Linked DNA regions of Mus musculus. The protein of the gene in region 1 purifies or fractionates together with the protein of each later gene. This does not show direct contact. Links are inferred from orthologs where the notes say so. Each region holds a gene or a part of one and is shown on either strand. Other genes may lie near its edges.

Evidence for each region.
Region 2: the proteins of Anapc1 (region 1) and Anapc16 purify together in Homo sapiens (co-immunoprecipitation; 5 studies listed by BioGRID and IntAct, with this or other methods). This does not show direct contact. The link is inferred for Mus musculus from reciprocal best matches to the Homo sapiens genes ANAPC1 and ANAPC16.
Region 3: the proteins of Anapc1 (region 1) and Anapc7 fractionate together in Homo sapiens (co-fractionation; 6 studies listed by BioGRID and IntAct, with this or other methods). This does not show direct contact. The link is inferred for Mus musculus from reciprocal best matches to the Homo sapiens genes ANAPC1 and ANAPC7.
Region 4: the proteins of Anapc1 (region 1) and Anapc2 fractionate together in Homo sapiens (co-fractionation; 8 studies listed by BioGRID and IntAct, with this or other methods). This does not show direct contact. The link is inferred for Mus musculus from reciprocal best matches to the Homo sapiens genes ANAPC1 and ANAPC2.

The regions. Positions count from the first base shown.
Region 1 is NC_000068.7:128,663,313-128,666,971, forward strand, and holds part of Anapc1 (anaphase-promoting complex subunit 1), read right to left. Parts: intron 3,394-3,659; coding exon 3,253-3,393; intron 2,197-3,252; coding exon 2,136-2,196; intron 751-2,135; coding exon 563-750; intron 1-562. UniProt on the Homo sapiens protein: Component of the anaphase promoting complex/cyclosome (APC/C), a cell cycle-regulated E3 ubiquitin ligase that controls progression through mitosis and the G1 phase of the cell cycle.
Region 2 is NC_000076.6:59,986,765-59,990,037, forward strand, and holds the end of Anapc16 (anaphase-promoting complex subunit 16), read right to left. Parts: intron 2,075-3,273; coding exon 1,959-2,074; 3' UTR 645-1,958; downstream 1-644. UniProt on the Homo sapiens protein: Component of the anaphase promoting complex/cyclosome (APC/C), a cell cycle-regulated E3 ubiquitin ligase that controls progression through mitosis and the G1 phase of the cell cycle.
Region 3 is NC_000071.6:122,420,987-122,425,308, forward strand, and holds the start of Anapc7 (anaphase-promoting complex subunit 7), read left to right. Parts: upstream 1-1,457; 5' UTR 1,458-1,591; coding exon 1,592-1,692; intron 1,693-4,322. UniProt on the Homo sapiens protein: Component of the anaphase promoting complex/cyclosome (APC/C), a cell cycle-regulated E3 ubiquitin ligase that controls progression through mitosis and the G1 phase of the cell cycle.
Region 4 is NC_000068.7:25,282,421-25,286,530, reverse strand, and holds the end of Anapc2 (anaphase-promoting complex subunit 2), read right to left. Parts: intron 1,970-4,110; coding exon 1,840-1,969; intron 1,595-1,839; coding exon 1,359-1,594; intron 1,281-1,358; coding exon 1,068-1,280; 3' UTR 615-1,067; downstream 1-614. UniProt on the Homo sapiens protein: Together with the RING-H2 protein ANAPC11, constitutes the catalytic component of the anaphase promoting complex/cyclosome (APC/C), a cell cycle-regulated E3 ubiquitin ligase that controls progression through mitosis and the G1 phase of the cell cycle.

The DNA.
Region 1 (3,659 bases):
GTAACTGGAGAACGGTCAGGCACCCCCACCCTGAAGGCATCCGCTGGTGCATCATAAACCATTTGCACCTCCTGCAGAATGACGGACAGAAGGCTGGGCTTTACACCGCTACCAGCGTTCTAAAGCTAAGTCTGAGACCTCGCTGCTTCGCCTACCAACAAAACCAAGAGGTCTAGTTACGTCGTTTTACAAAGATAACTGAGAAACAGTCAAAATCAGGCAGCAGTAACACACAACTGCAATCCCAGCTTGGAAGGCAAAGTGGGGAATGTGGTGAATTCAAGACCAGCCTGGGCTACGTACACAGCAAGACCTTGACTTTAAAAAAGACAAAAAGAAAAGAAAAAAAGGTAAATTGTGCTTAAACAGATTTTTAAATAAAGACTCAAAACCTACTAAGTATTTGATTCATGCTATATAGGACAACAGGCCTTAGTATTATCCCGACATATTCTAAGGCTTACCTATTATTAAGTTTGTCAGGTTCTCTCAGTTATATAGCCAGTTATACAAGCACTGCATTTCTAACAGGATAATGAAGAAAACAACTGTAGTTACTTACACTTCGGGTCCATGCTAAGCGGTCTGTGTTATAACCCATCATGTTCAAGAGACAAATCACAAATAAACTCCACTCTGAGTGACAGCTGGGTCCTCCTGGAGCACTGTGCACATTGTACCACTTGACGAGCACCTGAATGGCTACTTCTTTTGGCAGGATGAACTTAATTGCTTGCAGACACGTTTGTACTATTAAAAGCAAATACTGATTTTAGTATGTACTGCCTGCCTCCTTTCAAATGGGAAGGTTCAAATTGCTACCATGTCCAGGCCAGCCAGGAAAAACAGAAACTATCACTAAGGACACTGGGCACAAACATTACCTCAACATTATCAATCACGTTAAACTAACTACTGAATTCAACAGGGCTCACAGAAAATCTGAAGATTAGCTGTCAGATCCCTAATTCGGGACTAGAAATAAAGTGAGCATATAGCCCAGTTCACCAGAAATAACCACTGCTCCAGGAAATAACTGTTCCCTTTTCACTCTCAAAACTGTCCTACTTTGAACAATCAAGCTTACTTCATAAAAAATATCTAATTTCAAAAAAAAAAAAAAGAAAAGAAAACAAAGCCGGGCGTGGTGGCGCACGCCTTTAATCCCAGCACAGAGGCAGAGGCAGGCAGATTTCTGAGTTCGAGGCCAGCCTGGTCTGTAGAGTGACTTCCAGGACAGCCAGGGCTACACAGAGAAACCCTGTCTCGAAAAAACCAAAAAACTAACAACAACAACAACAAAAATCTAATTTCTACACAAATAAATTTATATAAAATGTGGATTAAATCCTTCAGTAGATTCAACATGCAGCACAGGCACCTACTAACAGGAATGCTTAGGGATGCTACAAGCTATTCTCAATGAGTGAACATTCCTGTCAACTAACACTGCAACTCGTAATTTCTACACTGTCTTCCTCACCATGCCATAAGTAGGTTAGGGCGAACACTATCTAATATATACTGCTCTTAGTTATGGCACATCATTGGTGTGAAAATCAGCTACAGTGAAGAGAGCCAAGGGGACTGCCTGCTGTAAACAGCAGATTCACTATTGGGACAAAATGGCTCCAGACAGTCCAAGTTTTCCTTCTTGTTCCCTCCACACCACCACTGTCACTGACGCCATCTTTAGCAGCACAGCCTCATCAATCAAATGAATGAGCAGACACTGAGAAGCCTAGAAGCCTAGACTATAAATCTTAGAAAACCAAAACGGCATGCTTTAGCTGAAAACAAACAAGAATAAACCAGATGTTGCAAAGGACTCACTTCTACAAACAGAAACCGCAGGGTGGAGAGTTGGTTCAGCAGTCGAGAGCCCAGGCTGCTCTTGTAGAGAACCTGGGTTCAATTTCTAGCACCCATATAGCAACTCACAACCATTCTTAACTCTAGTCTGAGGGGACCTGACAGCCTCTTCTGGCCTCCACAGGTACTGCATTCAGACAACAACAACAACAACAAAAAAGAGACCAGAAACTGTTCCCATCAACAGTGTGGTAAACAAACTGAGACCAGAAACTGTCCCCATCAACAGTGTGGTAAACAAACTGAGACTGCACAGTACCTACCTAATTCCGAGGTGGCCACTTCAGGGATAGTGATCCGAACCATGGAGCCATTGCTCAGTTCCTAGTGAAAAGAATGGAAACAAACAAACAAACAAAAAAACCAACTGCTTAAGCATTCTAAGTTTTTAAAAGCTTTAAAAAAAAAAATGGCAATTTTTACTACTGTCTGCCAGTCAAGGCAAAATACAATAAAATGAACTGCTATACTTTTCAATGAGAATGAATGCTTCTAACTAAATATACATTTTTGTAAAATACTTTCAAAAATTCTTTTAATAATGCTTTTATCCAAACACTACGACACCAACATCATCAAAAGTGATTTTCTCCGAAAAGACAAAAACACAGCAATGTGAACTGACGGAGTAAATGTGCTTGTTTTAGATACACTTGTTATATACTCTTATTAGCTACTTGAGAATTTCATATAATGTCCTTTTATCATAGTCACCCCCAACTCCTCGCAGATCCTATTTCCCAACCCCCAACTTCCTGTCCTCTCTCCTTCTTCTTAACAACCCATCAAGCCCAATTTATGCTACCCATAAACTCTCAGATGTGGAAGAATCCACTGATGGATGGGTGGTCATCCTACCAGGGTCATATCCTTTAAGGAAACTGACCTTCCCTCCCCCAGAAACCATCCATTCCCAACAGCTCCTCAACTGGGGTTGGGTTCAGTAAATGTTTAATATAGAAATCTCAGAAAACAGAATTAAAGTAAAATAGTACAAAATAATAGCATGTTTTAAAAATGTCAAGATATCTGAAAGACAAAGTAACTCAGCAGTTAAAGCCTGGCACCCTGCATTCATTTCTTACAGCTCACATGAAGATGGAAGCAGAGAACCAACTCCAAAGTTGTGGCCATTCATGTCATAAACACATGAATGCATACCCACACACATATGCACACACATATACATGAATGCATACCCACACACATATGCACATCATAGAACAATAAATGTTTAAAATCATGAGAAATGTTCGTTTTCATTTCCACACATAATTTTACATCCTGCCAAATGTGAACTATCAGACAAATAACCCTTAGCCAGCTGCTCCACCCTCTGGAGGATCAGTCAGCTGCTCCACCCTCTGGAGGAGGACTTACTAGAGTGACTCTGTTATGAACAGGGTCTCGCACAGAATGAATGTAAGTTCCAAGCTGCTGGAATGTGCAATCCTCATTGTAGAGAGAATCATTAAGTTTTGAAGAATCCCTCAATTCTGGAACTGGAGACAACAGAACCACCTATAAAAAGTCACAATACAACACAGATGAAAAGACTTTGAGATTAAAGACAAGGAGCTGTATTCTTGCATATGGTTTGATGATTCCGATCATTCTGTTCCAATAATGACAGCCCTGCAGCAGACCAAGTTCTTCACAGAAAAAGCATCTGACTGACAGCATGCATACATATCACATTATGACATCCTTCAAATGTAGACCACTTGTCACCAGGCTTTCCAGTCTGGTGGGCACAGGCACCAGCCTAAGTTGCTCAGAGAACTCAG
Region 2 (3,273 bases), on another chromosome or scaffold:
GGTCGTATCAAGAAATGCTCAACTTGGGCTGGAGAGATGGCTCAGTGGTTAAGAGCACCGACCGCTCTTCTGAAGGTCCTGAGTTCAAATCCCAGCAACCACATGGTGGCTCACAACCATCCGTAATGAGATCTGACGCCCTTTTCTGGTGCATCTGAAGACAGCTACAGTGTACTTAAATATAATAATAAATAAATCTTAAAAAAAAAAAAAAAAGAAATGCTCAACTTAATCAAGGAAATAGTCTGTAGTAAGTCCAAGTACCAGTGGGCGAAGGGAGGTGAGAGTCTGGTCTCACATGAAACCAGGGGTCTGGTCGCTTCTCTCCACAGGGAAAGTCTGACCATGGGCTGCACCTGAATATTCAACTCTTCTCTAGGGAAGCAGCTGGGCGTGGGGCTTTCACCACAGTGGCAGAGAAGAACAGGGAGACAGTGAGGCTGGGGCTGGTACTTCTCAAGCTCTGGCTTGCTTCAGACCAGAACAGTGGGCTCCATGATGGATCAATTTTTCCCCACTCCCACTTACATGGTTGTCCTCTGCCTGAGCAGCAGTTTCTCTTCACTGGCCTAGACTTTCCCCAGTAAATGAGGCCAGCTCCTCCCTGGCAGCGACTGTGTGTTAAATAGTTTCAACTCCTGAGATTAAGGCCAATTGCTACTAGGATTAAATTTATTTATAATTAAGCAACTCTAAGCAGATCAGGTGTAAGTTATTAATTAATGAGCAGAACGCTAAATGCTGGCTAGGGTAAATTTGTATGTAAAAGTACTTAAGCCTCCTAATTGTGCAGTGTGGGTCCCATGACGAGGGCTTGGTCATCCAGGTTTTTCTCTATCTTCGTGTAAAAACCTAGTGAAGAAAGGAGGGTAATCCTCACACTTAGTAGGCTGAGGCAGGAGGATGGCTATGAGTTTAAGGCCAGCCTAGCTACTGAGAGACAAGGTTCCAAACAAGCGAACTAACCAACAAACAGCCCACGGCCACACTCACTGAGGTTGCAGTAAGTTGGAACTTCTATACAAGCAAACAGCCCACATAAAGAAACCTACGGCTTACTTAAGCGACTTTCAAGTCTAAGGAAAAGCTGACCTCCTCTCTCTGTCTAAGTCCCCCAGACCGGAAAGGATACGCACAGCGATCTGGACCTCGTGTAAGGGTTTATTTGCCACAGAACTGCTTTCATACCCTGTAAGCCGGACTAAGACTTCGGGGTTCAAAAGGATTTAGGTCACTTCATATTTTCAAGTGCTGCAACATTCAAAAAGCAATCTTGGGGGGCAGAGTGAGGTGGAGTAGCACATTTGGCATGTCGTGAGAGGTGAAAGAAATAGTCTGTAATGTTAAATGTCTAAGAACAGAGAGGGAAAGGACACTTTACAGCTCCCATCTGGACGGACCCTGAGCTGAAACCACATTCATGTGTGAAGAGAAATGTTTGGGCTGTGACCGTGAAACGACAGATGCTGACCTTGGGCTTGGCTGGTGAAAGCTTCCAGACAGCCTCTGAATGACAGGACATCCTCCATTCAGTTGGCTGACTCTGGCATGTGTCCATTTGGCTTGTGAGAATCAGTGTTTCCTAGATCCCAAGCCTCCTGGTTCTCTGAAAGGACTGTCTCCATCTGATCCCCAATACTTCTTTTTATTTATTTATTTATTTATTTATTTATTTATTTTGAGACAGTGTCTCATAGCCCTGGCTGTCCTGGAACTCTTATGTAGACCAGGCTAGCCTCAAACTCACAGAGATCCTCCTGCCTCTGCTTCCCAAGTGCTGCCCAATGCTTTAAAGAACATGAATGTGAAAAACATCTCCGCGACATCTCACATGAGCACTTGTTGCCTATTAGCAGAATTGGAGACACCAAGTATGGATGTGGATTCAGACATGCAGCTCACAGGACAGCTGTGACTCCCTGGGTGGCTGTGCCCTAAGGGTGGTCGTGCAGGCAACATCAGCCCGAGGAGGGTGTGAACCCCAGCAGCTGCTCGATGGGTTTAAACCGCCACTCGTCGGCCTCCAGCTCTTCCACCAGACCAGCCAGTTTTTCCATCCGAGCGACTTGCTGATCTAGAGAGTTAAGGGACAGAGCACACCAGGGCATTTCCCATCAGACTGCCGCCAAAGTTACCAATGTGACAACTAGCCTAGGCTTCATCTCCAGGTGGACTTTATGTACGTCTGAAGACTAATTTTTGGAAACAAACAAACAAACAAACAAAAAAACCCCAACAAAAAACAACAACCATTTTTCCTAATCATTCTCCACTCATCTGCATTATGCACGTCTCCCCTTTGCTTGAGTTAGTGGAGACTAAACCCAGGGTCAAGTGCTCTACCCCTGAGCTGTATCAGCCTCCGTGTGTGTACACGTGGATGTGTGTTGTGCACATGGTGGGCAGTAATCCAGTCATTCCCATTAGTTATTATTCATGTGTATGTGACTAGGGAAGCCAGTCTCTCTAGCCCTTATCTGAATGTTGTTCTTTTTCCCTCTTGCTGTGCGAATTTGGCAAGGCCTGTCACCCTTTTATCTCCCTTCAGGCTTAGCCTTTTCCATGACCAAATCTCAAGAGGGGGCTTCCATTTTCTTTTCTTTCTCTGAGTCTGGAAAGTTTATATTAAAAAATTTTAAATACAGTTATTAAGAAATACAGGTGACTCTCTTGAGAAGCCCACACCCATACTTGGGTATGTACGCTCCTTTGCCTAAGGGTCTCTCTTTCTCTTAATCCCTATGTTTAAATCTGTATTAAAACCTTCCCTCTGCTCAAAGGCAAGCAGGGTTTTATTGCTGTAGCAAAAGAGGTACTCAAAAGTGAGCTCCCTAAAACCTCTTAATAAAGAAAAGAGAGGGGCTGGAGAGACGACTCAGCAAATAAGAGCGCAGAGTGCTCTTGCAGAAGAGCTGAGTTGAATTCCCAGCACCCACGTCAGCCGGCTCACAACCTGACATCACTGCATCTGACATCACTGCATCTGACATTGCTAGGCTTTTGAGGCACTTGTTCTCACTCACCCCCCACACATGGACTGCATACCTACACGTATAATTAAAAGAAGAAGAAAAAAAGAGAGTGTGAGCGTGAGAGAAAGATAGACAGAGGGATACACACAGAGGCAGAGGCAGAGATGGGAGGAGGAGGGACAGAAGGAAGGTGTGAGGAGAGAGAGAAAGAGTGAGAATATAAAACAAGCAAGGTGTGGGAGTTCAAGCCTAGCACTTGGGAAGTGGAGGCAGGAGATGTGCTCAGAGTTCCAGGCCAGCC
Region 3 (4,322 bases), on another chromosome or scaffold:
CTATAAAGGTATCTGATGCTATCTTCTGGTGTGTCTGAAGACAGCTACAGTGTATACTCATATACATAAAATAAATAACTAAATCTTTTTTAAAAAATGGCCTTGAATCTCAAATTTAAGCAAACAGCTTCAGTTGTTTACATTTTAATTGCATGTAGTTATTTATTTTGTGCGAGTGAGAGGCACATGCGGCTGTCTCAGAGGACAACGTGAAGGAGTCAGGTCTCTCCTCCCACACAGGGGATTGAATTTACAAAACTAGCCTTGCTGATAAGTGGTTTTACTCTCAGGCTGCCCAGCTTCAACATTTGAAAGTTTTGGTTTCCTTGTCGGCAAAGAAGGACTGACAATTCAAAGTACTTATTTGTTTGTTTGTTTGTTTGTTTGTTTTAAGCGTTTTCAAACAGGGTTTCTCTGCGTATCCCTAGCTGTCCTGGAACTCACCCTATAAACCAGGCTAATCTTTAACTCACAGAGATCGGCCCAACTCCCAAGTGCTAGAATTAAACCACCCCCTGCCAACGTTGTTATTTATTTATTGAATATGAGTACACCATTGCTCTCTTCAGACACACCAGAAGAGGGCATCAGATCCCATTAAATGTGGTTTTGAGCAACCATGCGGTTGCTGAGAATTGAACTCAGGATCTCTGGTATAGCAGTCGGTGCTCTTAACCACTGAGCCATCTCTCCAGATCCAAGTTGTTGTTGTTTGTTTGTTTGTTTGTTTCAATGTATTTTTATGAGTATCTGCATGCCTGAGTGTGTATGTCTGTGCACCACATGCATGTATGTGCCCATAGACGCCAGAGGAAGGAGTCGGATGCCCTGGAGCTGGCCTTTCAGACTGTTGTGAGCCACCAGGTAGGTGCTAGGAACCGAATTCCCCTGCAAGAGCATGCAGTTTTAATTTCTGAGGCGGCTCTCTCCCTCTATGGAAATGGCTTCAGCATTGCGATTTGTGAATATGCAATGCAGTAACGAGTTCGTAAAGGCTTGAGATGTTGACAGTGGGGCGATCAGAGATCCAGCTCATCCCTGTAACTATCTTTTCTTCGCACTTGGATCTAGCGGGTCACTTGGACGGGCAAGCCATGCCTTGCACCAAGGAATCTATTCCCAGTGACAGGGACAAGAGTCGCCAGGAGAGGGGGGCGTGCCACCTTCGCCTAGGACGCTCCCGTAGTTGGAGAAAGCCAGCCCTTGCGCGCCTGATTCGAAAATTCAATTTTTAACTGTCCGTTTTCCGCCTCCGCTGTGTTTAGGATGAACTCCTGTGCATTGTTACTAGCCTCCGCGAGGCATCCATTCCTCTCAGGCTGTCTTTAGCGCAGCAAAACTACGATTCCTACTGGGATGGCTTTGAAGATGATGATGATGGAGAAAACCCTTTCGCCGCTGCTTCTTTTTACTCAGGCACGTCCGTGGCTACCTCCATCTTCGGGGGGCGGAGCCGCGTCTGGACCGGAAGGACCCCGGCGCCGTCTCCATTTTGGAACTTTCCCCGAGCCTCTGCTCTCGGTTCCCGGGAGTTCTGTCCGCCGCTGCCGGTGCCGCGGTGTCGCCGGGGGCCACGGTGTTGCCGGGCAGGATGAGTGTGATAGACCACGTGCGGGACATGGCGGCTGCGGGACTGCACTCCAACGTGCGGCTCCTCAGCAGCCTGCTGCTCACCATGAGTAACAACAACCCGTGAGTTGGAGAGGCGGGGAGGTGGCGGTCCCGGGAGCCGGGGTTGGCGGTGGCGGGGGGACGGTGTGGTCCCGCGGAGGGCTGCGCGGGATCCGGCCTCGGTGGCCTCGGAGTTCTGGCTCCTTCCAGAACGACGAAGTCCCCTGAGTCCCGGGGACCCAGTCCACCGAGTGTCAGCCGTGGGGGTGCCACCCCAGCGGAGGGAGGGGACCCCACTTTCCGAGACTGAGAGCATCGGTGGCGGGCGCGGTGGCGCCTTTTTTTAATTTAAAAGGAACCCTGGCAGTCTAATGTAAGGCCCGACATTGCCGCCGGGGAGTGACTGGTTTTGTGTGGTTGTGTTTACAAACAGGGGTCTCCTGTAGCCCAGGCTAGCCTGCCCCAGGCTGTGTGTGTGTGTGTGTGTAGTCAAGGAAGACCTTGACCTTCTTACCCTCCTGCCTACGCCTCCCAGAAGCTGGGGGGGGGGGGTTAACTGGTGTTTTACACCCCCACCATGCTCTCAGTGTGCGTGTGGACCTTGGGGATCGAACCAGGGATTTCAGGCGTGCTAGGCAAAACACTACCGATGGAGTGACAGTTCTATCTAGCCGGGTTTACTGCGTCTCAAAGGAAGCCCGGGACAGTTGTAGGCTTGAATTGCCTGTAAGGGCCTTGCTTAAAAATTTCCCCATCATTGCTCACTCTTCGACGTGGCTCCGCAAGTCAACCTAGTCATTCCTTTTCTCTAATTTCTCCTCCTGCCCGAGCGCTCTCAGAGCAAGCATTGGCACCGGTGGCTTCACTTTAGAACCGCTGCCTGAGCCGGGCAGTGGTGGCGCATGCCTTTAGTCCCAGCACTTGGGAGGCAGAGGCAGGCGGATTTCTGAGTTCGAGGCCAGCCTGGTGTACAGAGTGAGTTCCAGGACAGCCAGGGCTACACAGAGAAACCTTGTCTCAAAACAAAACAAAACAAAAAAAAATGCTAAGGAAATGTGTTTATTACAGGGAGGTCCAGTAGGTCGACCAAGATCACACCCTGGAGAACATAGAGGAGCGAGTGGATCTGTCTATGATTGGAGATAGTTTGTATTTCAGTCCACCACTGTCTAGTGCTTCCAAAGAACATTACAGTAGCCTTCTACTCCGTGCAGACATTTGCATTTGGCGTGGCTGAGGCTAGTCTAGTGAGACAGCCAAAGGGCTGTGAGGGGCCTGTAATTCAGTCACTACCCCCCACTCCAATTCATTAGTGTGCTTTGGACCGACTAGGCACACACATCATTTGGTCACCAGCTTCTTTTTTTTTTTTTTTTTAAAGATTTTATTTATTTATTTATTTTTATTTATTATATGTAAGTACACTGTAACTGTCTTCAGACACTCCAGAAGAGGGCATCAGATCTCATTACGGGTGGTTGTGAGCCACCATGTGGTTGCTGGGATTTGAACTTCGGACCTTCGGAAGAGCAGTCGGGTGCTCTTACCCACTGAGCCATCTCACCAGCCCGGTCACCAGCTTCTTAGTGTGACACGAGGGACACTGGTCTCTGTCAGCCTTCTGTGTTGATGTTGAGGACTTTTCCCCAGAATCTTAGTGGTGCTTCATAGCAAATGGTTTCCTGTGTTGGGGATAATGCCCTAATCTTTACTCTTGGGTCGGGACAACGTTCTAGCACTGTTTGAACGCTATAGAGCGTCCTCCTCTAGTTAGACTGAATTGGGCTAACCCATGCTTTTCCACGTTAGGTTAGATTGGCAAGTTCTTAGCTACAGGAAGCAGATAAGTTCTGACCTTCATCCTTTATGTTTTGATATTTGTTGAAGAGACAGTGTACACACTGTCCAAAAACAAAATAAGACTGATAACATAGTTCAGTGGTAGAATTCTTACCTAAAATGCCTTGCAGCTGGATCTAGCCTTTACAGTTACCTAAGATATCGCTCTGCCCGGGAAATGGTCATTGTGTACTGGCTGGTTTTGGGTGTCAACTTGACACAGGCTGGAGTTATCACAGAGAAAGGAGCTTCAGTTGAAGAAATGCCTCCATGAGATCCAGCTGTAAGGCATTTCCTCAATGAGTGATCAAGTGGGGGGGGCCTCTTGTGGGGTGGTACCATCTCTGGGCTGGTAGTCTTGGGTTCTATAAGAGAGCAGGCTGAGCAAGCCAGGGGAAGCAAGCCAGTAAAGAACATCCCTCCATGGCCTCTGCATCAGCTCCTGCTTCCTGACCTGCTTAAGTTCCAGTCCTGACTTCCTTGGTGATGAACCGCAGTGTGGAAGTGTAAGCCGAATAAACCCTTTCCTCCCCAACTTGCTTCTTGGTCATGATGTTTGTGCAGGAATAGAAACCCTGACTAAGACACACTGTAACATACTTGCCGAGCGAGTAGTGTCTCTGGAGTGATACATGAAAAGCAGTGCTCTCTGGAGAAGGATGGTGGTTGGGTCAGGTTCAAAACCGAGGAAGCAGTACTTTGCTTGCCTCTGTTTTTCCCACCTCACAGCTTCACTGTGTAGCCCTGGCCGTCCTGGAACTCAGAGATCCACTTGCCTCTGACTCCACAGTGTCGGAATTAAATGATGATTGAGCCAGCACACCGGTCTTCGTGAAGCTGAGGCTGACCTTGAACCCCTGATCCTCCTGCTC
Region 4 (4,110 bases), about 100 Mb from region 1:
GGGCTTGAGGGGACTGGGAAGGGACTAGGGGTAGTGGCAGCAGCCCAAGCTAGGTGTGGCTTGTGGCCTGGGATCCACCTTGGGCAGGATCTGGGTGTGTAAGCAATGATTCCAAAGGGCTTTTGTTTCCTTTGAGGATGGCACCTCAGGTCAGTATTTCCTGACTGAAAACAGCTGTTCTGGGACAGGGACACAGGGGCCCATGCTGTGTCCCACCAGGTTCTGTTGTCTTAAGGCCAACCTGTCCTCAACAGGTGTCTGGGCACAGCCTGCCTACAAGGGTGGCTGAGCCCTATCTTGGAGGAAAAGGATTATTAAACTGTGTCCTGGGTTCTCTTCTTGTCCCCACCCTCTTCCTGTACTTCTGACAGCATCTCTGGGGGACCTGAAAGAGTCTGAGTACATACTTGTAAGCTCCAAGAAGTGTGGCCAGTAGAGAAAAGAGGACAAAGGACTAATACGCCCCTGGCCCCCAGCATATGTCCTTAGGCTGACCTTGACTGCTAGACACAGGTGTGCACTTGACTCAGGTTGCCTCACCTGAGGATCTCATCGAGTGCAAATGTACTAACAGCACAAAGCCTTACATTGATTCCACAGATGCCACACACAAGTGAAGGACCAAGAGTTCCTTTTAATGGCCACAAAAGCAGGATGGGGCCAAAGTCTAACTCGGGAGACTCTGAGCTGCCAACCCTATTCACTCTTGCTGAAACAGGTCCCAGCATATTCTAAGACAGGCTACAGGAGATAGCTTTAGGGTAATCTATTGCCCAAACATACAAGCTTAGGCTGGGGTAAGCCTGGCTTCTTGGGTGGCTCAGTTACCTGCTGCTGGGAATCCAGGCCCTGTAGGGTTATGGTTGGGTGGCTATAGAGGGCAAACCTGTTTGTATTCATGGGATCCAACAAAATACATGAAAGGATGAGCCAATATGCTTTAATTTGTTCTGTGGGTGTTAGGCAGGGAACGGGCAGGGACTGGGCACAGGAACATGGAAATAGAAGCTGTCCATCTAGGGGTTGCACAGGCATGAATGCTGTAGTCAGAGCCTGGAAAGGGAACATCAGTTGGAATTCTTAGGCAGGCGGTAGACACCTGCAGAATAGATGAGCTGCTGGTCTCGGACCTTCTTCTGCAAGTAGCCCTGCAGCTCCTGCAGGTCAATCTCAGCCAGCGCAGGGCCAGTCATTACAAACATCCGGAGCATGCTGTAGATACGCTCCAGAGAGAGGCTCTCTAGGTTGGTTAACATGGCCTGGATGTATGCCCAGAAGAGCTAGGAACAGAAGCCAGGCATGGTTAGTTGTCCACTTATTTGGCCCACCCCAGCCCAATGTGGAAATGGCCAACGTACCAGTAGCTCCTCTTCCTTCTGGTCAGCCTGGGAGGCCATGCCTGAGTCACTCTCATCATCACTGTCAATCAGCACCATGTTGTCCCTATCCTGAGGCCGCTCTTCCTCAATGACAGAGAAAGTGCCTGGAGGTTCCTCCCGCAGCACACCCTGTTGCAGCCACACTGACATGCGTCTTCGAAGCAGTGCCACAGGCATCTTCACCACCTTGCTCAGTTCCTCCAGGGTCCAGCTGGCTGTGTGCAGAGCCATAGGATGCAGGTACCGAAGATTATACCTGCTCCAATACCTGTTAGCTAGCTGGACCCCCAGACGCACGTGGATTGTCCTGTGTAACTCATAGGTAAAAAGAATGGTTGCTACCCCTACACTCTGCTGGGGGCTGGGGAATCTGGCATGTTACCTTATAGCCCATCAGATTATAGCAATAGCCCCAAGGTAGTGTAGTCAAAGCAGAGCAGATATGGTTCTAGGGACTCACCTTGGTTCTGGAAATACAGCAAGACCACTGCCTGTACTGGGGTCACCGCAACAGACAGGGTGCGGTCAGCAAGCTCCACATCCATTGTCACCAGGCCCAGGGTGTGCTTCCAACTAAGTGTCCGCATAGCCTGGGCAGGAATCATCAATAACAGTCCAGTGGGTTCCAGGCAGGTCCAGATGAACAAGGCATAGGCTCATATGCCATGCTACCAAGCATGGAATGGCTCTTGCACCAATGCCATTCCTGGCAGGTAGGTAGTCAACAGCAAGACCAGGAGACCTGATTGGAGTCCCTGGCTCCTGAACAACCATGATATAACTGCTGATAAATTGTGTCCCTCTCATGTCTCAGTACCTTGGAACATGAGTTATTTGCAAAGAGAGTTAATGTAGATGTAATTAGTTAAGAAGAGGTCATCCTGGAGTAGGGTAGCCCTTAAGGCACAGAAGGGAGTGGTTATGAGAGGCATAAAGTATGCTGACATATCAAAAGCTGGGAAAGCAAAAGAGTAGTTTTTTAGAGGCAACAGGAGGAGCCCAGTCCTGCCAACACCCCAACACTGGACTTCTATTTCCCAGAACTAAAACATTTTTCTGTTGTTTAAAACCACTCAGCCTGTGACTTTGTCTTCTGTCTGTCTGTCTGTCTGTCTGTCTGTAAGACAGGGTTTCTCTGTGTAGCCCTGTTAAAAAGGTCATAATAAGTGAAGCTTCTGCTGTATAGATGGCACATGCCTTTAATCCCAGCACTTGGGAGGCAGAGGCAGGTGGAGCTCTGTGAGTTCGAGGCCAGCCTGGTCTACAGAGTGAGTTCCAGAATAGCCAGGGCTACACAGAGAAGCCCTGTCTAAAACAGAAAAAAAAAAAAAAAAAAAAAGGATGATTCTGGTTCTATGTAGGGATACTGCTCTAAAAACACCTAAAATATAGAAGTTGTTTGTACAATGGGGAAGCACATGAAGGTTAAACCTTAGGTTGCTACAGTTAACTGGCACGACATGGAAGATGCAGATGATGCTGGTGAAGGCTCAAGGAAGGATAAGAGCTATTGCCCATACTATAGAGAATAATGCTGGTAGAGATGAGGGCACTGAGAGGACCTGCTGCTGAGAGCTCAGATAGAAACGATGAGCAAACACTAGACACTGGGGGAGCTGGCAGAGAACTACCAGCCTGTAGCTAGATGTTTGCTGACATGAGTGTGATTTGTAGATCCACCCGGAACACGTAGCATATCCAGGAACATACCCCTTCCCTCACTTTCTTTTCTTCATTTTTTAAATAAAAGACAGAGCCTTCCTCTATAGCTGAATTGCCTTGAAACTTGTTATATACAACACGCTAGCCTCAAACTAGCAGTGCTGCTGCTGTGCCTGCCTCCAAGGCTGGGGTGACAGGCATCACCAGCACACTTGGCTCAGGATCACAGTCACTTGATAAATTGGATATTGTACACTTCATGGAAAGCACCAAGATTTTGGGTGTTATGTCAGCAGCAATGCTGACAGTCTGAATGCAGTGACAGAGGTACAGGAGAGTGCACACAGGGCTGCCAGGAAAGCCAAGGGCACCACCAAGGCCTGAGCCACACTGTCAACTCTGCTTTCCGTGGTTCAGATTTGCTTTAGGCTCATGATCCTTCTTGCTGCCTTTGGGAACACCCTCTTCTGAACTGGGCTTGTTTTAACAATGTGCTTTGGATCAAAACAACCTCACAGCATCAAGGTGGAGACGAAACCTACTTCAGATGGATACGGTTTTTTTTTTTTTGGGGGGGGTCCTCACTATATAGCTAGGCTATATAATGAACCACCACCCTTCTGCTTTAGTCTCCTGAGTGCTAGGATCATAGATAGGCACCACCCATCTAGATTAGAAGAGATTTTTAAGAACTGATGCTGAAGTGGTTAATTTTGGAGATATTGGCTAATTTTCTCATGTAAAGACTATTAGTTTTAGAACCACAGGCTGCCATGGGCCAAACTGTATCTCTTCAAAGAGATAGTAAGTAAAGCCCAGGACACTGACTCTAGTGACACTGTAAGTCCTATCTCCAGGGTCCTTAATCTGATATAACTAGTATCCCAAGAAGAGGGAAACAGACATAGAGAAAACTTGGACATAAAGATATGCATTTACCACCTGGGCAGTGGTGGCGCACGCCTTTAATCCCAGCACTCAGGAGGCAGAGGCAGGCGGATTTCTGAGTTGGAGGTCAGCCTGGTCTATAGAGTGAGTTCCAAGACAGCCAGGGCTACACAGAGAAACC